Sus scrofa: one gene and its partners. The protein of the gene in region 4 purifies or fractionates together with the protein of the main gene of each other region. This does not show direct contact. Links are inferred from orthologs where the notes say so. Each region holds a gene or a part of one and is shown on either strand. Other genes may lie near its edges.

Evidence for each region.
Region 1: the proteins of USP15 (region 4) and PRPF3 purify together in Homo sapiens (affinity purification with mass spectrometry; 3 studies listed by BioGRID and IntAct, with this or other methods). This does not show direct contact. The link is inferred for Sus scrofa from reciprocal best matches to the Homo sapiens genes USP15 and PRPF3.
Region 2: the proteins of USP15 (region 4) and SMAD2 purify together in Homo sapiens (affinity purification with western blotting; 4 studies listed by BioGRID). This does not show direct contact. The link is inferred for Sus scrofa from reciprocal best matches to the Homo sapiens genes USP15 and SMAD2.
Region 3: the proteins of USP15 (region 4) and RNF40 purify together in Homo sapiens (affinity purification with mass spectrometry; 4 studies listed by BioGRID and IntAct, with this or other methods). This does not show direct contact. The link is inferred for Sus scrofa from reciprocal best matches to the Homo sapiens genes USP15 and RNF40.
Region 5: the proteins of USP15 (region 4) and PSMD14 purify together in Homo sapiens (affinity purification with mass spectrometry; 3 studies listed by BioGRID). This does not show direct contact. The link is inferred for Sus scrofa from reciprocal best matches to the Homo sapiens genes USP15 and PSMD14.
Region 6: the proteins of USP15 (region 4) and GLUL purify together in Homo sapiens (affinity purification with mass spectrometry; 3 studies listed by BioGRID, with this or other methods). This does not show direct contact. The link is inferred for Sus scrofa from reciprocal best matches to the Homo sapiens genes USP15 and GLUL.

What each region holds. Positions count from the first base shown.
Region 1 is NC_010446.5:98,751,225-98,754,724, forward strand, and holds part of PRPF3 (U4/U6 small nuclear ribonucleoprotein Prp3), read right to left. Parts: intron 3,219-3,500; coding exon 3,075-3,218; intron 2,392-3,074; coding exon 2,292-2,391; intron 2,119-2,291; coding exon 2,005-2,118; intron 534-2,004; coding exon 415-533; intron 136-414; coding exon 52-135; intron 1-51. UniProt on the Homo sapiens protein: Plays a role in pre-mRNA splicing as component of the U4/U6-U5 tri-snRNP complex that is involved in spliceosome assembly, and as component of the precatalytic spliceosome (spliceosome B complex).
Region 2 is NC_010443.5:97,446,224-97,449,723, forward strand, and holds part of SMAD2 (mothers against decapentaplegic homolog 2), read right to left. Parts: coding exon 3,369-3,500; intron 1,360-3,368; coding exon 1,285-1,359; intron 1-1,284. UniProt on the Homo sapiens protein: Receptor-regulated SMAD (R-SMAD) that is an intracellular signal transducer and transcriptional modulator activated by TGF-beta (transforming growth factor) and activin type 1 receptor kinases.
Region 3 is NC_010445.4:17,625,991-17,629,490, forward strand, and holds part of RNF40 (E3 ubiquitin-protein ligase BRE1B), read right to left. Parts: intron 3,137-3,500; coding exon of another isoform or gene 3,134-3,136; coding exon 3,012-3,133; intron 2,925-3,011; coding exon 2,497-2,924; intron 2,412-2,496; coding exon 2,294-2,411; intron 2,175-2,293; coding exon 2,025-2,174; intron 1,850-2,024; coding exon 1,637-1,849; intron 1,558-1,636; coding exon 1,432-1,557; intron 1-1,431.
Region 4 is NC_010447.5:27,065,514-27,069,013, reverse strand, and holds part of USP15 (ubiquitin carboxyl-terminal hydrolase 15), read right to left. Parts: intron 979-3,500; coding exon 895-978; intron 805-894; coding exon 710-804; intron 613-709; coding exon 421-612; intron 1-420. UniProt on the Homo sapiens protein: Hydrolase that removes conjugated ubiquitin from target proteins and regulates various pathways such as the TGF-beta receptor signaling, NF-kappa-B and RNF41/NRDP1-PRKN pathways.
Region 5 is NC_010457.5:68,162,879-68,166,378, reverse strand, and holds part of PSMD14 (26S proteasome non-ATPase regulatory subunit 14), read right to left. Parts: exon of another isoform or gene 3,135-3,500; intron 3,129-3,134; coding exon 3,057-3,128; intron 2,839-3,056; coding exon 2,719-2,838; intron 53-2,718; coding exon 1-52.
Region 6 is NC_010451.4:123,759,576-123,763,518, forward strand, and holds the start of GLUL (glutamine synthetase), read right to left. Parts: upstream 2,591-3,943; intron 2,371-2,590; coding exon of another isoform or gene 2,159-2,370; intron 2,021-2,158; exon of another isoform or gene 1,849-2,020; 5' UTR 1,740-1,848; coding exon 1,729-1,739; intron 65-1,728; coding exon 1-64. Other genes in the region: serine/arginine repetitive matrix protein 2-like, read left to right, coding at 2,159-2,370, 2,591-3,325, 3,667-3,817. UniProt on the Homo sapiens protein: Glutamine synthetase that catalyzes the ATP-dependent conversion of glutamate and ammonia to glutamine.

The DNA of each region.
Region 1 (3,500 bases), on a different chromosome or scaffold from region 4:
GGACAGAGTACCATCCCACCTCCCACATACTCCCCTCTAACCCCCATTCACCATCTCCCTTTGTGTTAGATGTCTGTTCATCCCACTTTATCCGATGCAGCATAAGACGCTTAAATTTCTTCTGGGCCTTGGGGCCTATAAACAGAGAAGGAGAATTTTGCGAGAGTTGCAGAAGACCATGGGGTAGAAAGAACCTCCGAGCTCATTCAATGCTCAGACATTAAGTGCTAGAGCAGTCCCAGGAACCACATCTTAGGTCCTTCTACTCCAATAAACAGAAACAAAGGCCCAAGATATTATACTCAGGTACGGCTCTAAAATGACTATCTTTTTTTCTTTTCTTCCCACCATGCTAATCACTTCAAGGTCTAGGGTTGCCTGGGGACGTTCTCCCTCAATTTTTTTTAGACTCACCCCCTTCCACTACTACCACGTTGACATCCTTGTGCAGTACCACCACCCCTGTCAGGTACAGTTGCCCAGCATTGGCCTCAATCTTGAACTTCTTGGCTGGGTTGCTCAAATTTCGAACTCTGGAGAAGGGAGAGTTTAGTTATGGCTTTCATTTTAGCATCAGTAGCTGCCTGCATGGAATGGCAAATAAAGATGGATCCAAAATAGTTTTCTCTCTAAAAACGAAGGCATGTGGAGTAAGCAAATATACAAATGCTTAAAATGTAGAACTGATGAGTCTAGAATTCTTTTTTTTTTTTTTTTTGTCTTTTTTGTCTTTTCTAGGGCTGCTTCCCACGGCATATGGAGATTCCCAGGCTAGGGGTCTAATCGGAGCTGTAGCCACCAGCCTACACCAGAGCCACAGCAACGCGGGATCTGAGCCGCGTCTGCGACCTATACCACAGCTCACGGCAACGCCAGATCCCCAATCCACTGAGCAAGGCCAGGGATTGAACCCGCAACCCCATAGTTCCTAGTCGGGTTCGTTAACCACTGAGCCATGGCAGGAACTCCTAGAATTATTTCTACTGTTGTAAGCTTCTTCAGAGTTTGCAGTGTATACCCTAAAACAAATAGCAATTTCCCTGATCAAACTTTAAGAATGAAGAAAAGATATTTACCATCATCCAAAAATATTTATATGGCAGTTGTTCTTGAGTACAAAGAGCAACAAATTCTTTGCCCTTCAGATGCTTATAATGTAGTGACAATACTATGCATGAAAAATTTCTAGGACACATGAAAAACTGTAAGTGGCAACTACCTAGAGTGAGTGGTCCTAAGAGATCAGAGAATAGGAAAAGGACTTTTTCAGTAAGTGTCCTTTGTGTTGTTCAAATGTTCATTATCTTAGTAAGGATTCACTACCTTTGTTTTTTTTTCCTAGCTGCAACTGTGGCTCATGGAAATTCCCAGGCCAGGGATGAAACCCACACCGCAGTTGCAGCAACACCAGATACTTAACCTGCTATGCCACATGGGAATTTCCATAATGTGCCATTTTTATAATAAAGAACTATTTACTAAACATGAACTCAAATAAAAGATACACATGTACTTGACATAAAAGAATAAAATGAAAACAACACAAAAGGAAGAAAATATTTACAGTGTATAAAGCCTATTTTGGAGTGGGAATAAAAGGTTTAACACATTAGAATAAAGATATAATTAACTGAGGAAAAAACTTTTAATGCTTCCTAGAGAAATAATATACTTCATAGAAGATAAATGATACTTAGTTTACATTTTAGCCTGAACAAGCATATTCATTCACTCATTCTTCAGAACCAGTACTAGTTCACTAAGACCTCAGAGAACTAAATTCATGAGAGAACCACTAATATTCAAGAGCGAACTACTCTTCTGAGTAGGTTTTTTAACCCTTGCCATTGTAAAAGATTGACTAGCTCTTGATTTACACTAGGTCATTACAAGAGAGTTGAGGCTGATGTTAGGTATGCTTTAGACCACAGTGATTCTGTCTTAAGCACTTGGAAAATATTTTGATATCTCTAAGGGAAAGGCTGGCCCAGTTTGGACACCTACCTATATACAGATATGTGTACCCCCTGTGAAATGTCTTCTTTAAGCTTTTTAATTTTCTTGACCTTTCTCTGTTCTGCTGTAAGTTTTCGGGCAGCGTTGGCCTCTTCATGCGCTCTGTCGTGACAGGAAGGACATCCACAAGTGAGAAAGGCATTGAAGATCAGAGGCAGGGCTGAGGGAAAGAGAGAGCAACGGAGGACTCTCCCCTCCCTCCAAATATGGATTCCCCCAGAAGAGTTTGGGAAAGGTACTTGCCCTGGGTTTCCACCCAATCCCATGGCACTTACTTCTGTCTTTTTGCCATCTGAGCTCTGACATGGGCTTCTACCTTCGTGGGGTCTTGAACAGCTTCTGTTCCTAATACTCGCATCAAATTTGAAATTCTCACTGTAGTGAAGAGAGGACAGACATCAATCTCCTAAGTCACTACTCTAACTAGGATAACCCGTCAATCTCTTCTCTACCAATTCATATTATTCGCCTATTTCAAATCTCTGCTCAAAACTCACTTTCTCCAGATACTCCTACCCTGAAAGACCATCCAATTAACTCAGCATTTGTGGAACATCTATTAGTCTAAATAGCTGGTATGCATTTATTCACATTGCTTGAAAATTTACAAAAGACAGAGAATTTAATTCTTTGGCATTTTTCACTCTGATCACAGCATTTAGTGAAAGGTCCTATACATAAACTCAAAGTATTACTAAATGATAACGGAGACTATAGGAGTGAGGTTTAACTAGATTTTCATTTTTTGAACATTAGAATTATGAACGTAACTACTCTATGCAGATACTCCAACTACTATCTTGATGAATTTCAAAGCTATTATTCTTCCAGAGTGTTACATGGTCAATACTACTTTTTAAAAAAGCCTTAAATGACCTCTACAATGACTATGTTGACCTGTCTTAATAAGACAGTAGAAAATTTAGGAAAGGAAAAAAAGAATCAATGAATGATTCTGAGAAACAAAAAACAAAAAAAATGTAGGGAGATGCTCAAGTTCTTCTAGAGTGACAGAGATAAACTTGCCACCCTTTCTTTCTTGCCTCTACGATATGTACCTTTGGGTTCTGGAGGAGGCATCAGGCCCAGCCTGACTTTCTCTTGTAGTTCCTTCTGTGCTTCCCTCCTTGTTTGCCTTCGAAGTTTCTTCTGTTCCTTCTTGGTCAGATATACCCCAAGAGTAACTGGTGTGTCATTGTCAACTGTCAGGCAGGAAAATGAATGTACAAAAACAAATAGCATATTAGAGAGATATAGGTAAATATCAATCACATTAAAAGGACTTTTGGTTTGGGTTTTTTTTTATAATAATAATAATAATCCATGCTATTTTGGATATGTCTTTAAAAAGCATTCTTATATTTCAGGAGTTGTATTCTACTTGTTTTTCTTTTAACCTTTTAACCAACTGAAACGTGGCTAATGGAAAATATAATATTACAGCTGCTCTGGCTGCCCTGTGTGAGGATTTGGGTTAGGTAGAA
Region 2 (3,500 bases), on a different chromosome or scaffold from region 4:
ACATCAATGGCTGGAAGTTCTTGGGCCAGATGTTAAACCCAAGCCATGGCAGTAACCTGAGCCACAGCAGTGACAATGCTGGATCCCTATCCTGCTGAACCAGCAGAGAACTCTGGATATCTCCTATTTTAAAAAAATGTGATTAGCTATAGCAGAAGCTTCTTTACCTAGGAGTTTAAATAATGGAAGAATTTAAACAACAAAATTATTCTAAAAGCCAGGAGTTCCTGTTGTGGCTCAGCAGATTAAGAACATGGCATAGTCTCTGTGAGGATGCGGGTTCAATCCCTGGCCTAGCTCAGTGGGTTAGGGATCTGGTGTTGCTTTAAGCTGCAGTGTAAGTCACAGATGCGGCTCAGATCTGGTGTTACCATGGCTGTGGTGGGGGCCTTGGCTGCAGCTCCAATTCAGTCTCTAGTCGGGGAAATTCCATATGTCACAGGTACAGCCATTTAAAAGAAGGAAGAAAAAAAAAAAAAAGGCCAACCATCTTAGTCCCCACCATTTAAAAAATAACTAATATTATCATAAGTGCAGAATGCTTTACTATAAAATGTAAAAAAGCTGATGCTATACTCTGACAGGTTGGGATATTAAGGTGACCAATCCCTAAGCTATAAGCAGGGTGGAATAGATCAAAACAGACAATTACACTGACATCGTAGCTATTTCACTGGTAACCTATTAGTTCTGATGAGTTATATACATTTTATTACATAACTGTTTTAAAGCTTTGGTGTGTGTGATATTTATTACATGTTAAAATTTTCTCTTCGTTGTATTGGAAACTGGTAGCTAAATGTTAGAAATTAATTGAATTAGATCAGGCATAGTGTACAAGGTATTTGGTGTAAATGAGCTACAATAATTCAGAACTCACTATTAAGTTAAAAGAGCACTGAAAAGCTGATCCCATCTCTTAGCTCTAAATTCCTCTGAAAATTTGTTATTGGGCTAAAAGAGTCATCACAAAGATATTTATTCAGAGTAACTAAAACTTTAAACAGAAGCACAGAATACTTACAAAAGTATCTGAGTGTTCTTCATTTACTCTAATGAGAGAAAATTCTAACAATTCTTCTGCAGAGGAGCATATGTTAATCTTTCACTGAGAACAAGTCCTCCCTTTGATGGTCCGAATATGATTAAACCAAGATAAAAGATTTTTTTTGGATATGTGTCCAACTTCTTTAAATGTAAAGGTTATGAGTAACTCTAGTGAGTTTTAAACAAGGCAAAAATGTATTATCTAACTACAGAGAAATTTTGAAAACTATTTCTTACCTGTGTCCATACTTTGGTTCAACTGTTGATCACTCGTTTCTCCATCTTCACTGATATATCCAGGAGGTGGCGTTTCTACAAAAGTTTAGAACAAATCAAGTATAGCTGCCATCTAATCTCATCATCTTTTCTCCCAGCTACCAAAGATGACCAACAAATCACTCCAAGTAACAAACATGAATGTTTTATAACATTACTATAAAAAGTAATACTTGGATGCATTCCCATCATGGCGCAGTGGAAACGAATCCAACTAGGAACCATGAGGTTGCAGGTTTGATCCCTGGCCTCACTCAGTTGCTGTGATGAGCTGTGGTGTAGGTCGCAGAGGTGGCCAGCAGCTGCAGCTCCAATTTGACACCTAGCCTGGGAACCTAAAAAAAAAAAATGCCTCGGATGCAGCCCTAAAAAGAAAAAAAAAAAAAAAAAAAAGAAAGAAAGAAAAAAAAAGCAATATTGGATACTGAGGGCTTATGATTCAGGTTCTTCCCAACCCTTACAGGTGAAGAGAAGTCTTAAAACCTACTGGTAATACAATTGAGCTCTCTGGAGAATATTTTGTTAGCTATTATTTACATATCTGGCTCATTCTCCTATGTGTATTTTCTGGGGCAAGAGCCAAAAATATAACTTCAAAAATGCCTCGGATCTGAATCAGTATGCTTCAAAGAAATTAGTACCCACATTTTTCTTTTTTAAACCAATAGCCATCATAGATGGGTACTTAGAGATGATTAAAGGACACACAAAACACCCAAACAAGATTTCAGATTACAAAGTAATACAGGCTTACATCTTACACTAGGTTCTTTAGGGCAAAATACAGTAATATAGCTTAGGACTGGTCTAACTTGAATTCTACCTAAAAAGTATATTGCTCCAGGGATTTCTAACCAGTAAATCCTGAGGGAAATTCAAATATAGGCTACTACACAAAACTAAGGTAAACTATTTCCTGAAAAAAAAAAAAAAAAACAGGATTCTACTCTTTTTTTTTTTTTTTTAGGGTCGCACCTCAGCATACGGAGTTCCCCGGCTAGGGGTTGAATCGGAGCTGTTGCTGCCAGCCTACGCCACAGGCACAGCAATGCCAGATCTGAGCCGTGTCTTTGACCTACACCACAGCTCACAGCACCCCTGGATCCTTAACCCACTGAGCGAGGCCAGGGATCGAACCTACAACCTCATGGTTCCTAGTTGGATTCGTTTCTGCTGCGCCATGTCGGGAACTCTAAAAAAAAAATAGGATTCTAACATGTCATTATGATTTATGAACAAAATGTTTATATTTGGGAGGCATCTGAGTATCTAAATAAGTTCCATGTAAAATAAAAATATTTATACTAGCAATTATAATTTCAAGAAGGAAAAAGTTTAACATTTAACACTGTTATAGTTTTAAGCAATGTTTTACATTAATGCTGACATGTACTAAGAATTTTGTAATTATCAAAAGGAGGATAAAAAAGAGATGGATTAAAGGTCCCCTTCATTAACTCTTAACAATCTTTCTTCAGTAAGCCAACTATAAATTTTAAGTACCAAACTTTTCATTTAAGTGTCAGTGCCCCCCAAAATTTAATAATGAAATTCACAAAATAAAATAAATTCCGTCATATACTCAAAACAATGAAGATACAAAAATAAGAATACAAACCATTATGTGCTATTTTAAAGGTTAAAGCAAATAAAATTAAAGAGAGATAAGCTTTGCCGGTTTAACCACCCATGACTTAAAGGTCTAAATACGAAGAAATACTGAAATTATATTTTATCCTTTTTCATTTTTCTCTATTACTATTTATCTATAAAATAATAAATAATAAAGCTACTAGAGTTTTGGGAAAAAATGTTAAAATTTCTTTTGCAGTGGAATAAAAAGTAAATTCCAAGGTTTTGCTGTCTGCTGGAGCAGGATAAGCCCCGCTGTCCAGAAAAGCAGACAGGTGTAATTTTTCTATTCAAAATCCAGAGCATTTTTTTAAAAGCCCAGTCATAAAACTATTAGTATGCTAATACATGAATGTTTATGCACACAATTGGTATGTATCCCAAATTTTAGGAGACTCAAAGGGCCAAAATACCTGGGATATAATTACTCTGTGGCTCAATTCCCGCTGGGAAATTAGTGTTTTCTGGAATGGAGTGGGTATAATCATCCAGAGGTGGTAGTTCTGTTAAGATCTCAGTATGCCGTGGCACTAATACTGGAGGCA
Region 3 (3,500 bases), on a different chromosome or scaffold from region 4:
GATTCCTGCTCTTGGGATCAAGTCCAGTATATCCACTGGAGCTGGTGCTGCCTCCGGACCTCTCCACCCTCACCTCCTCCTGTTCTCCCTCATCCCCAACACTGTCAGTTTCTCAGCTGCATGATGCTCTCCTGAAGAGCACAGGGCTCCTCTCTGTTCCCCTCAACTCCCCCTGCACACACACTTCTTTCCTGCCACTCCTCCTAAGCCTCAGCTCAGTGTCCCTTCCCAAGAAAGGCTATATACTATTTTTTTTTTTTTATGCACTTCAGTTTCCTTCATAAAACTTACTGCCATCTGTAATAATGCTATTTCATCTGTAGGATTCCTATCCATCCCTCACAACTGGAATTCCCGGGAGTTCCTGTGGTGGCTCAGGGGTTAAGGAATCCAACTAGGAACTATGAGATTGCGTGTTCGATCCCTGGCCTCACTCAGTGAGTTAAGGATCTGGTGTTGCCGTGAGCTGTGGTGTAGGGCTGGAGGGCACAGACGAGGCTCGGTTCCCACGTTGCTGTGGCTCTGACGTAGGCCGGCGGCTACAGCTCTGATTAGACCCCTAGCCTGGGAACATCCATATACTGCAGGGGTAGCCCAAGAAATGGGAAAAAGACAACCCCCCCCCCCAAAATCTGGAAGTCCCCACTTCCAGCAGGGCTGTCCTGCTCCCATGAGCCCCCAGCACTGAGTGTAGGTCCTGATATCTCCCGAGGGCATGACTAATACTGTGTAAATGAATGAGCTCAGTGGAGGAGAAAAAGTCCAGCTGGGAAAAGAAGATGAAAATCAACATTCATCTTTTTTTTTTTTTTTTTTTTTTTTCTTTTTGGCCACACCTGTGGCACACAGAAGTTCCCAGGCTAGGGATCGAACCTGCGCCACAGCAGTAACAATGCTGGATCCTTAACCCACTGAGCCACAAAGGAACACCTCAGTGTTAACTGTAAGCCTTTACTATGAACTAGAAGAGTGAAACCAAGATGGTGACACAGGCCCTTCCTAAGTCTGCTCCCCTCAGAAACACCCACCGTGAGTTTGACATTCTAGGTTTCATCCATCCACATGACAGGGCCACCAGCCCCATCGCATGGCTGGCCAACGCCGCCGTCAGGGAGACCCAGGCCCACATTCCGGTTCTTCTCTTTCTTAAGCAAGTCAACTACCTGCCTGAGCCGTATCCTCACTTATGAAAGGAGGATGACAACAAACACCACTGTGGGGTTATGGTGACACCTAAACGTGACCACTCATGGGATGTTCTGGGCGCAGGGCCTGGAATTCAATGAGTGTTTTGACACATGAGCCAGGCTGAGAGAGGAAGCAGAGCGGGGCTTCAGCCCAGGTGGTCTGCTTGGAGTTCTCTAGACAGAATCACAAAGTGAGAGTGTGAGCCAGCATCCCAGGTCGCTGTACCTTCACGTACAGCCTCACCTTCCTCTTGTTGAGCTCCAGGGCCTGGCTGCGCAGCGTCAGCTCCTTCTCTACACCCCCAAGGCTGCCCTGCAAGGCCCGCTCTTTCTCCTCCAGCTTCTGCACGGTCAGCAGCTGGGCATCCACCTGAGGGCAGGGGTGGGGACTCAGTGCTGGGACATCCCTGCCTCTCCAGCTCCACTCTCCCAGCCCATGGCAAGCTTACCTGAGACTTGAGGCCAAGAACCTGCTCGCCCAGCTCATCTTTCTCCTCCCGCAGCAGCTTATGAATCTGGTTGGCCTTGATCCGCTCAGACATCAGCTTGAAGTTGGCATCGTCCTTTTCCCGCAGCTGCTGCAACAGCCGCCCATTCTGCTCCTGCATGTCCTCAAAAGCCTGGCCTGTCACATCCATCTCGGACAGCAGAGCCTCCTCCTCCTGCAGCAAGTGGGCAGGGGCAAGAGGGAATGTGGCAGAGGGACAGGACAGCGGGGAAACCAGAGGAACACACGGCTGACCGAGGAACCACTGAGCAAATGCAGGCTGTGTACTACTACAAGAAGTTTGGAGAATTCCAACATTCAGAGGCAAGGGGACCAGAAGGGGGTCACACCTGCTTGGTGGCACCCAACTTGCGCTGCAGATGTTCTATCTGCTCCTCTGCCTGACGAATGCGCCGCAAGGCATCCTCATCGGCGATCTTCTTGCTCTCTCTCCGATCCCTCTCCTCCAGTTCCCGGATCCGGCTCCGCAATTCGTCGACCTATCAGCACCAGAGGAGGGAGCTCTTCTATCCCAGTACTGCACCCCTAGGGCTCCACTCTGGTCTGAACCCCCTGAGGCAGCTTCTCTGCGCGTCCCACAGGCCCTACCTGCCCTCACCTCAGCCTTGGCCTTGCGTTCGGCTGCCATGAGCTGCACCTTATCCCGCTGCTCCTTGGGCGCGGACTTATACATGTCCAGCAGCAGCTTCATCTCCTTCTGACTTTCCTGGGCCTTCCTGGGGGGGTACAGGAGGAAGCCTTGGTGACTAGGGTTGGAGGCCACTGGGCAGCGGTTGGAAGGAGAAAGGAGGAGGGCCTCACTTGAGCTCTGCGCGGAGACCTTTGAGGAGTTCTGATTCCTTCCTCTTGGCCTCCTCCACCTTGGCCTTCTCCCGATCAGCCCGGGAGAGTGCCGAGGCCACAGATGGGGGTCCCAGGCCCGGCCCTTCGCGTTCCCGAAGCTCCCGCTTGGGCCTGGCCTCGGGTTCTCGGCCCCGGGAGGAGGGGCCCTGGGCCCCGGGGTTCAGGGCCTGGGCTTCTTCCTCTGGGGGGCCCAAGTCTTCCTTTTTTGCCGAGGAGGTAGTAATAGTGGTGCCAGGCATTGAAGCCACCTCCTTTCTGGTGTCAGGGGCAACAACAGGGCTTGGGCCACCTTCTTCTTTCCCTGGGGCTGGGGTGCTGAGGCCGGAGTCCTCTGGGTGGCCCAGGGTGGGGATGGAGTGGGTAGAGCCACTGGCCTGGGCCCGGAGCTGCAAAGCAGAGAGAGAACAGGGATGGGGGGGTGACATGCTTACTGGCATGTAGCCACAGCTTTTCCCAGGCAGCCCTCTCCTCACCTTGGCGATCTCAGCCTGCACTTCCCGCAGCTTCCGCTTGTATCGCTGGGCGTCCCCCTTTAACTGGTGGTTGTGGTTTTGGAGGCTGCTGATCAGGTGGCGCATCTCCCTGTTGATGGGCCCTGGAAGAGAACAGGCACCAAGGGACTGGCTAGGGGCCCAACCAGTGGCAGAGGTGGCAGGGCCAGAGCCATCATGCCCATTACAAAGGAGAGGAAAACCAAAGCCTTAGGAAGAATGTGATCTCGAAGTTGCTGTTGTGACTCAGTGGTAATGAACCCAACTAGGATCCATGAGGACATGGGTTCAGTCCCTGGCCTTGCTCAGTGGGTTAAGGATCCAGCGTTGCCGTGAGCTGTGGTGTAGGTCGCAGACACAGCTTGGATCTGGCGTGGCTGTGGCTGTGGTGTATGCTGGAGGCTACAGCTCCAATTGGACTCCTAGCCTGGGAAGCTCCATATGCCGCGGGTATGGCCCTAAAAGCCAAAA
Region 4 (3,500 bases):
TAAGACAAAAAGGGGTTGTTCCACAAAAGGATCAACTGTCAAAGTTTATCCTTTTAAATAAAACTATTTGTAAGAGTTCTTCATATTAGTATGAGCAGTGTGTATGAAGAAATCAAGCATCTGACATTTGTTATAATTACAGAGTGCATATGTGATAAATTCCTATTTTCTTCCAACTGTAAACTTGTGGTGTAAAAAGCTAAAAGAATTCATGCTTCCTGGGTGTGAAATTACCTCAGTAATGTGTTTTTCATGATCAAGAAATGAATCAGACTGTAATTTGATTTCTTTCATTGCTACCTGTCTAAACAGTGTTGAGATAATATAGACAACTAATGACATTCTGAGAGTACCTTGCATGTTTACTTTTATTAGTTATTTAATATTTTATTTTGTAAATGAGAACTGTTTCGCACTTACCACATTCTCACAAGCAGAAGATTATAGAGTTTATCTTCAGTATTGTTTCGTGGTACAGCCATAAGAAAAGGCTGACCAAAAAGTGAGGAACCAGTATGGTGGGTATAACTTGAGTGTCTAAATTTTTCTCTCAGGCAAACAGGAATAATCACATGCTCTGTATCTTCTGTCCTATTGATGTTAATTTCAAACCTACAAGGATAAAACTGACTATAACTCTGAAAATTTTATGATATTTCCTTTAAATTTTTTCTCAAGTAATATTTTCCACAATAAATTTTATACTTACACATAAATATCATCCCGTTCCATAATACTACTAAGGTTTTCATCCATAGCAAATATTCTGTGAAATCTATGATTGTATATATCAGTAACTATCATCTAAAAGAAAATAAATTTCTATTAAGCTGGTTTTACAACACTGAAAAACTAAACTCCAACTCACATACTTTAAATCCCAAAACACCCTACCTTATCTGCAGGTACTCCTGAAAGAGTAGACAACGCTGTACAAAGATCAAGTATGTTTCCAATTTTGGGGACAACCACTTTGTACTAAAAAACAAAAAAATTATAACAAATGTTTTACTTTGGAAAAAATATTCACTAGGTAAGACTAACCTTCTGGTTGCTACAGTTGGCATCTGGCTCACACTGTCCATCTCCAATCTTGTCATCATTCTGGGTAATGAAGTCCATGTGGATGATTTATCTTAGCCTTATTGTTTCTTGACACCTCAATTCAAAGACCTATACTTGCACTCAACTGTAGTTCACTTCTTGGGCCTTGTCATCCCCTGCTCCCCTCCTGATATCATTTTTAAACTCTTAACTGTGTAACCACTATTTACTTTTCCTAGAAACTCATGCTTTCCTATTCTTGGCCTGCACTGAGATATCTAGTCCTTTTATTAAAAGACTGAACTTTCCCCTAGCTTACTAGTTCCCTACCATCCCCATGGCCTTCCATCCAGACTTGATGTGATTCATCACTTCAACTATTCTACCGTAAATCTTAAACTACTTTGTCAATAGTTTTTTTCTTGCTATACTTTCTTAGAGTTGTTTAGATATGCTAAACTGCCCAACTTTAGAGGTTAGTGTGCTACAAATTCATAGTGCCCAGTATCAACTGATTCTTCAACACTAGCCAGAAATTCTTCTGTGTGTCCTTTATTTGCTTATTCTCCTCTATTTCATGATAACTATTTAAAATCTTCACCATTCCTTAGGCTTCCTATTTCACCACTTCTCCCCTCACTATTTGCAGAATACCTATTTCACTGAGGAAATAAGTGGCTACTGGATAGGAAAATCTCTAATTTCCTGTTCCCCCTACAAACTTGAGTCTGAAAGGTTCCTTTCTTTGTCTCCTCCCACATATGGAAAGAGAATCAGGGGTTATTCCTTCCATTCAAAGCTAACCCTAGCATCTAAACTCTGAATCCTATCCTTTTTTGGCCTCCTCTAGAACATAAACCCAGCAATCATCCTTTATTTCATTTTATCTTGACTCTTTTATAAATATTGAAATGCATACAAGTCTGAAAAAACAAAACAGTCTCTCATTGCTTTCTTATAATTCTCCTCTAATTATCTCCCTTTCTCTTAGGCTTTATAAATAACCTCGTTAATGCTTACACTGACTACTGGTAATTTCTTCACTTCCCATTCACTTATTAATCCACTGCTGGATTCGGTCTTAACTTCTTTATTTAACTTGCTACCAAAGCTGTCTATACTGTCATTTAACCAAATCTTCATCAGTCCTTATTTTACTGACCTCTCTGTAGCCTGACTGCTGACCACTTCTTCCTTTAAAATTTTTCTTTCCCTATAGCACTACTACTACTTATTCTTTTCTAATGCCCTGGTCATACCTTCTTTTGAGGAAATAACTGACCCTCTAGTGTTGTCCTTCAGAGTTTTATCCTTAGCCTTCTTGATTCTATATGCTCTTAGACTAGGTGACTATTCTGGTTTGCTTTGGATAGTCCTGGATTAGCCTGCTATCCTGGCATAACTATTAATAAAGGCCCTACTTATTTTTTTTAAAAAGTTCTGGTCTATATGATACATTAAAGGATCACCCTAGCCTTAGGTGATCTCATTCTTCTAAGACATTCTTCTAGGGCAGATCTCTCTTCTCTAGCCTACATAGATAAAGTCAATCAATGCCTACTGATATCGCTCCTAAATTTTCCTCATGAATCTCAACATGTCCATATGCAACAGAGATTTGGGTCATTTTAGGTCAACATAGCAATAACTAAAACAGGTTTCTTCCTATATATTCCAATAAAACAAACAGTTCCACTCTCTCCTGTTTTCCAGTTGAATGAACTGAATACTCTTAAACATGTTCAACTCCTACATTCAACTGGTTCTTCTATCTAACTGCCACCCTGACACATACCTTAAAAGTCCCCTGTCATTTGTCAGTGCAAAAGCTTCCTACCTGGTCTTAGTACTTCTGATTTAGGCATTTCTAATCCAATCTTTCCACTAGCCAGAGTATTCTTTCTAAAATACAAATCTGACAATATAATCTCTTTACTTAATAACCTTACATGGTTCCCTCATTCTTTAGGATGAAGTCCAAACTTCCTATCTTAGCATTAAGGTTCTTTGTGATCTAGCTTCTGCCTACCGTATTATTTACTTATAGTTTCCATAAGCAGACCATGTTCTCTTTTGCCTCAGCCCTCTCTTGATCTATAATGTTTTATTCCCAACCTTCACGTGCTTAAAACCTAATGATCCCGAGTTTCTGTTGTGGCTCAGTGGTAATGAACCAATGAAGGATGTGGGTTCAATCCCTGGCTTCACTCAATGGGTTAAGGATCTGGAGTTGCTGTGAGCTGTGGTGTGGGTTGCAGATGCAGCTTGGATCCTGCGCTGCTGTGTCTGTGGTGTAGGCTGGAAGCTGCAGGTTCTAATTCGACCCCTAGCCTGGGAACGTTCATATGCTGTGGGTGTGGCCCTAAAAGACACCCCTTTCCCCCAAAATAACCCTAGTCATCCTTCAGGATTTAACACAGGTGTCATCACTGGTTTGAGGTTATTCCTTCTGTATG
Region 5 (3,500 bases), on a different chromosome or scaffold from region 4:
TATCTAACATTTTGGCTTGGAACACTGGATCAACTGCTTCTACACTGACACCCTGGTTTAGAGAGAAAGAAAAATGATGAGCTTCTATAACAATGAAAAAAAATTTTATATTACAATGTAATGAACAAAAAGCTAAAAACCTATGCAGGTTTTGGTAACCATATTTGATACCCACTCAAGTCATCTGATTATAAACCATACAGCAATAAAACTTCTAAATTTGCCAAGTACCAAACTGCTAACGCTAATGAGTTAGGATAATTTACAAGACCCTTTAAAAGAGTTTAAGATCATGACTAATGTGTGCGCGCGCGCACACACACACACACACACACACACACACACACACACACAAAGAAATAACCCCGATAGGTAAACCAACTATTTTTTGGTTAGCACTATCTAGGCAAGCATACTTCCTGTCATCCTTTGATAACTGATAAGCACTAGGTCTCAGTACATCTCATCCAAAGTTCTACAACTATTCTACTATAATAAGCAACAGCCTCAAGTTTCTCTCTCTTCCCCCTCACCCCCACCCCCCAGTAAACACATTGAGGAAGGAAAGTAATTTATTAGTTTTCCCAGAGTTGCATTCATTTTCTGAGGGGTGGGGAGGAAGTTCTGTGCTTTAGTTAGGACTACTTGGTAGATTAGACAATTGGAGGGAAATATATACTTTTGATTATTACCTCAAATATGAAAGCATTCACAAAAAATTCCCCACAAGAGACAATCTGTAATCAAGTCTTTTAAATGTTGCATTATTTCACTAGTTCAACCAAAAGAAAATTTTAGGATATGAAGAACTAAAGGCATTCATATCATCTCTCCAGGGAGAGATCACTGCCATTATAGTTCCCTCCAGGCTTTCCTTTAACATCAGGAATTTAAGTCTAATCTATTTAAACAAACCAGTTAACATAAGTACTTCTTCCCACCAAAACAAACAGTATTTTGAATTCTAATTGAGAGTGCATCCTCAAGAACAGGGGTATGCAATCTGCTGCCTACAGGCTAAGATTTTTTTTTTACATTTTAAAGGGTGGTTTAAAAAAAATAAATAAACCAGGAATAGGAGACAGAGACATATGTCTTTACAGAAAAAGTTTGCTAACTCTTAGGCTAGAAGAAAAACTTTCCAATTCTAATACACGGAGTGAACCTAGGGATCAAATATAATATTCTAATATTCCCTAACCCTAACCCTAACTCTATTTTATGTTGTCAAGTAAGCATTTACAAATAAATACATGATATTAAAGCTTAACAACCCTTTTTATAATGAACATCGACTAAGGACGATACATAACAGAAATAACAAAATGCTTTTATTTTAGTATGCTTCATATATTCTGACATAAAAAAATAGATACAAGTAATAATAGTCTAAGATTTAAACCTATATCTTTAGGTAATATGGAGTGTATTTCTCTATGCCCAAATACACAAAATAAATACAATGGATATAAATCCAGGTGGACAAAATCTGCAGGTCTAAATTACTTTACCTCAACAAACTGATCTATTTGGAGAAAAAAACTTGTGTCTTTTTCTGTATTTTGCATTATTTATAAATACACTGTATTCTGCAGCAACTACTCTATTTAAAGTGCTTATCATAGAGTTCCCTGGTGGCCCTGTGGGTTAAAGATCTGGCGATGTCACTGCTCTGGCATGGGTCTGACCCCTGGCCTGGGACCTTCCACATACTGCTGAAGTAGCAAACAAAACAGAACAAGAACAAAAATGTTTATTATATATAGGTATGTATATGTATATATACACATATACACTTCATTATTTTAAAATAGGATTTGTTTTTCTCTAGCATTCACTTTATCAAAGTATACTCACAGTAAAGAGCCTCAAGCAGAGCAAACAGTTTTATGACAATTTCTTTAATCCAGATATTTTACAAGGCTCAATAAGAACAGTGTTGCATATTAGAGAAAAAAATTCATCAAGTAAATATATATTCCTAGGCAAATAGATGAGAAGGGAAGTAGAACAGTTGTTTTTTGGCCATTTAAAAAAAAATCTGAATATACACCTATCTACAAGTCCAACGAATTAAACAAAACAACAAAACAAAACAAAAAACTCCCAGAAAGAACAATGAGCTCTAAAGGAGCAGAGTAGAGGACTTTCAAAATCTACATTCAATACACTTCTTCTATAAGCAAATTACCATACCTAGGCAAAAAGAACTAAAGTTTGTCATGGTGTTTTGGGTTTCTGAAACTTAACATTTTGCATCAGAAAAGCTTAAGAGTCATCTATCACCATATATAGAATATTGTAAGAGCCATATTTCAAAACAATCAGAACAAAACATGAGGATTGGATAATGCACGTGAATTAAAAATCTAATTAAGAGAGTCACTAAAATCATTTGAACCTAGTGTTCAAACTAATCAAACTAATATTCTACTATCTTAACGTAACTAATTTATAAACCCAGAATGTGTTGCTAGTTAAAGCTGAAGGTACAAGGAAAGAGACTGTTAGCATCACTCAGTTTGTGGACCTATAGGGAATTTATGATGCATTTAAAAGATCAATGATTTAATTCACTACAATATAAAATTTCCTATCATTAGTCTTATGATGAATTTTTCCTATCATAAAGAGAAAATTACAATATGATGAGTTATTCTGCATAAGAAAAGAAAAGAAACAAATTTACTTGCAGCAGGCAACCATGAAAGTACTCACTGTTCCCGACTGTGGCATAGCAAACACATCAATCACTCTGACGGTGTAATCATCAACAAATTCTCCAAGCATCAGACCCATAACTTCCATTGGAACTCCAGCGCGACCATGTTTTAACATCTGTAAAGAGGAAGATAGAGACACAAAGCTTTGAGATCTTTGGACCCTTTTTAAAATAAATTCATAACCCAATTGCATTTCACTGGAAACATACTCTATAGATGTACCTAAAACAACAGCTTATGTATGAGAGGATTAACGTGAAAACTATTACAAACTAAAAGATACAGTGCAAGCAGCAGAGCTCTCTAAAACAAGTATTTACATTCAATACTTACTTTCAATAGTGCCAGGGAAGAGATATAGACTTGTTCTGCTGTGTCCACAGCAGGAGCATCTGTAGGTGGCCCCTAGAAATAAGTATAAATCATATATAAATACACGGAATTTATGAATTTAAAATTAAAAGTTACATTTATTTAAACACGATCATCTTAAAAGCGTTTAGGGAAAATATGTTAAGTATCCTTTAATTCACTTACAACACGAATAATCAAACCAAGCTAGAAAATATCAAACCTGCAGAAAACATCAAACTTAGGCAAGTGTCCAGTGGATATAATGCTTGAATCTTGCAGCAATGCTAATTTACCTCCACTACAAAACAGCTACAATGCGCCAATTAGCCATGTTTTTTATCTCAGTGTGAATGTAAACTGCTGTTGGACTAGTATGATTAACTGAACGTCCAACACAAACAGTAAATTCTCTGAGCTTGATTT
Region 6 (3,943 bases), on a different chromosome or scaffold from region 4:
GTACACCTGCTTGATGCCTTTGTTCAAGTGGGAGCTCGCTGAGGTGGCCATGGTGGACGGTGTTCTGGAGAAAAAGAGAGAAAACAGAAAACAACTAAGAACACCAACTCCAGACAAACCCACTGCAGGAATGACTCATTAGGGATAATTAAATCAAGAAGTCAAGTGGGAGTGGTGGCCCTTCCCTTTGGAAACCACACACACACACACACACACACACAAAAGTACACACAGTACATTTATTTAATTGTACACACACACAGTACATTTTTAATTTGCTTTCAGAGAGATTAAAAAGTGTGTTTGTGGCTGCACTCTCGGCATGTGGAAGTTCCTGGGCTAGGGATCAAACCTGCGCCGCCACAGTGGTAGGAATGCCGCTTCCTTAACCCACTGCACCACAAGGAACTTTCTAAAAGTTTATACTAGACAAAAATCTCCTGATAAGCCTCCTCAAGCTAGAATCTAAACTTGTGAGGACCAAGTTCTATTTTTTGCAGTGTACCAGAGGTAGAGGAATTTTTCATTTCTCATACTAAAGATACCAGAAGAGGAAAAAACCCCAAAACACACAAAAAAGAAAATACAGAAGTTCAGAAACAGGAAAGTTTGCAGAACAGACTGCGTCTCCAAGTAGACGCCAACCACAGCAAGGCTTAGCTGCTATGATCTCTGGACTGTCTTCCCTTTTCCTTGCACCCCAGAGGATATCTCAATAAAAAATCCTTTTGAAGATTCCTCCACCCCTCCAAAAACCAAACACTCTCCTGCCACCCACATAAAGTTGGTAGGGTGAAACAAGGGGCCCAGCTAGAAGGTTTAAGAGGTTGGTGGCTTCCTAAAACAACTGCAGTTATTATAACCACCAGGATATAAAAATAGCTGATTCAAGCTGGATTCTAAGATGCACATGGTCAATTTTCATCAGTTCTCACTTCAGAAAGTCAGTTTCAGTTTGAGAATGACCAGATTCCACCAGAGAACTTTGCAAGGAATTAAAAAATCCCCACTTCTAAATCAAAAAGATCTGGGGTTTCAAAAGCCTCTAGGCATACTAAAAACTGCAAACCCCTTAAAGAAGAGACACTGAGGCCACAAAATCAAACCTCAACACAAGAGGAAACGTTCTACCCCTCCAGTCCCGGGTTGATAGCCCTGGGTGGCTGCAAAGGGAACACATTGTTCTCCTCCAATGACTTGGGCAACTTTCTGAAGTACAGTGGCAAAGTTTCTATGGGCAACCGGCCCATGTTTGCCCAGCTGAAAACAAAACTGCTTCTCCCTCGGACAGCCTCACCCTTCCCCGAGGGGAAGAGAAGCTCTCTGTCATGTCGTGTTAGCAGACAACCACTACTTTTGCCTATTCCCTTTAGAAGATTTGGTCTGTCAAATACTGCTCCCCCTATCCCCAACTCATCCAGCCTTTAAAGGCAGGAACAACAAAAATCCCTGACTCTTATAAAGAATCCTATCTCCGGGCTTTCCACCCCAACCTGTTACATCTCCGACTTCAAGACACACTTTCTCCCTTAAGCTTGGGTTCTGCTCTTTTCAGTGGTGCCAGCTCGGTTCCATTACAAGTCGATTGCCAACATCCTAGTCTACTATTATGTTAACTGGTGCCGCCGCCCAGGTAACAAGATTAGTGGTGGTGGTGGGAGGGGATGGGATGCTGCAGGTTTTAGCCGTGTCTGCAGTTAGGGTCCTCATCCCTGCCTCCTCACTCACCCCAGCCACATAAGGTCAATGGTATCGATGGGGTTGCCCTCCTTAGCCCTTCTCCTTTTGGAGCTGCGTTCGCGCCTCTCGTGGGTCTCGGGCTCCCGCTGGTCCACGCACCGGAGCTTTCTGGGCGAGGGAGACGGAGAGGGAGAGGGAGTCGGAGTCGGGGAGGGGTCGAGATCCGACCGGGATGAGCAGGAATACGAAGGCTGGTGGGTCAAGGACTTGATTTTGACTCGCGGTTTCTCTCCAGCGTTCACTGAGTAGGCGACGAAGCCGAAGCAGTTGGAGGGGGACCCTGAGGACCGCGACTCCAGGTCGTCTTCATTTTCGTTTGTGATGGTCTTCGCGGATTTGCGGCCCGGGGAGGATCCCCGCTTCCCGCCCCCGGGGCAGTTGGAATAATCCACTTTGAGAGCGGCCCTTTCCCACTGAAATGTCCCGAACGTGGGCGCCCCGCCCGGGTCTCAGGGCCTCGTCAAGGGGGCCATACCCCTCCAAGGTCGGGGAGGGGGGAAGGGGGAATAGGGACGTCTGCCGGAGGGACAGCGGGCCACTGCTGCCCCTGCCCGGCCCGCCAGGCCTCTCCACCCCTCGCGCCCTCCGGGCCGCACCGCGCCTCTGGCACCCCATTGTTCAGTCACAGGGGTAGGCCCCCGGGACCCCGCGGCGGGAGCGGCCGCCCTGCACACGCTCACGGTCCTTTGCCTCCACGCAGGCGTCTAACCGCGCCGATCCGCCCCAGGGCCCGCCACTGCGGAGGAGGAGAGCGAAGCTTCCACCGAGGGACCACTCCGCCACACCGCCGGGCCGGGGGCTCCGGGCCCGGGCAGTGCCTCCACCACTCGCCCCGCTGAGCGACCTCCAGGGGCGACGCCTCTGGCCGCAAGCAGCTGAAGGAAGAGCAAAACAGCTCCCCGCCCTCCTCGAAGCCCGTCGATGCGCGCGCCCAGCCATCGCCAACCGAGACCCGCGGGAGCTACGAGCGGCTGAAGCCTGCGGGAGGCGCCGCAGGCCGAGGCGCTGAGAAGGAGCAGGAGGTGGCAAGGGCCGAGCCGAACCGATCCGTCCCGGCGCGGTGGCTCGGGAGGCGCGCGTCACTGCCGAGCCCCCGGTCGAGGCGGGCGCTTACCTGGGCGGCGAGCAGGAGGCAGGGCGGGCAGGCCGCGAGAGCGAGAATCGGAGCGGAGAGGCGAGGAGGCCGAGGGTGCTCCTTAAACCATCCGCTCTTCTCCCATTCTCGGCTCTGCAAGGCGGTCCGCCGCCCAGCAGCTTTTATCGGCGGCTGGGGCCGCCCCCGGCGTCCTGATTGGCTCCCAGTGGCCGGAGCCCGGGCAGATCAGCTGATGCGCGTCCCGGCCCCGCGACCATTGGGCGAGCTGCCGAGCGGGCGCCGCCGGGGTGGGGGCGAGCAGACCCGGGAAAGAAAGAAAAGGAAAGGGCCGTGGGGGAGGGGTGTGGGGGAGGGGAGCGAGGAAGGGCGGGCGGAGGGCCGAGTGCCTGCCGGGAAGGACCCCGAGGGCCCGGCTGCCGCGCGGCGCCGCGCTCGCACCCCCCCGCCCGCCGAGCCTGGGCGTTGCCTGCAGCCCCTTGCTGCCTTCAGGTTAGACATTTAGTGGGCGAGTTCTTTTTTTACGAGGTCACAGGGCAAGCCCCAGAGCTCCCGAGGAAATTCTGACCCCCGCAGACCCCCACTTTTGCCTTTTGTTGTTAAGAGACCCTTCCAGGCCCCCTCCCCGGCCCTCTGCTCCAGTCTGGGAAGGAGCGAGGGGTGTGGGTGAAGCTCTGGGCTCGCCTGGGCCGCAGCCTGGCCTGCAGAGGGGGGCTGCCAGAGGGAAGCCTACAAGAGCCCCTTCCCCGGGCTCTCGGCGGTCTGGGGACGCGAACCAAAGTCTCCGACCTCACCTTTGTAATGAACGTGCTGTGTTTTGTGTCATTTCCTAGGGATCCTCCTGGCGGGCAGAGACATAAAGTCGGGAGATCTGATTCTGTCTCTGCCACACCTGAGGCGACTCTGTCTCTCTGGGCCCAAGTTCCTACATCGGCCAATAAAGCGGCTCAAGAAAGGACTTTTAGAGCTGCCTATCAGATTTGAAATTTTGTGTGCAGTTTTCCAAGGGCAGCTGAAAGGCAAGTGAGGTCTTGGCATCTCCCCTTTGAAGCCCAGGGTATGTCAAAAATTTAGAATTCCTTAAACAGATTGTCTCTGGTTTTGCTTTTC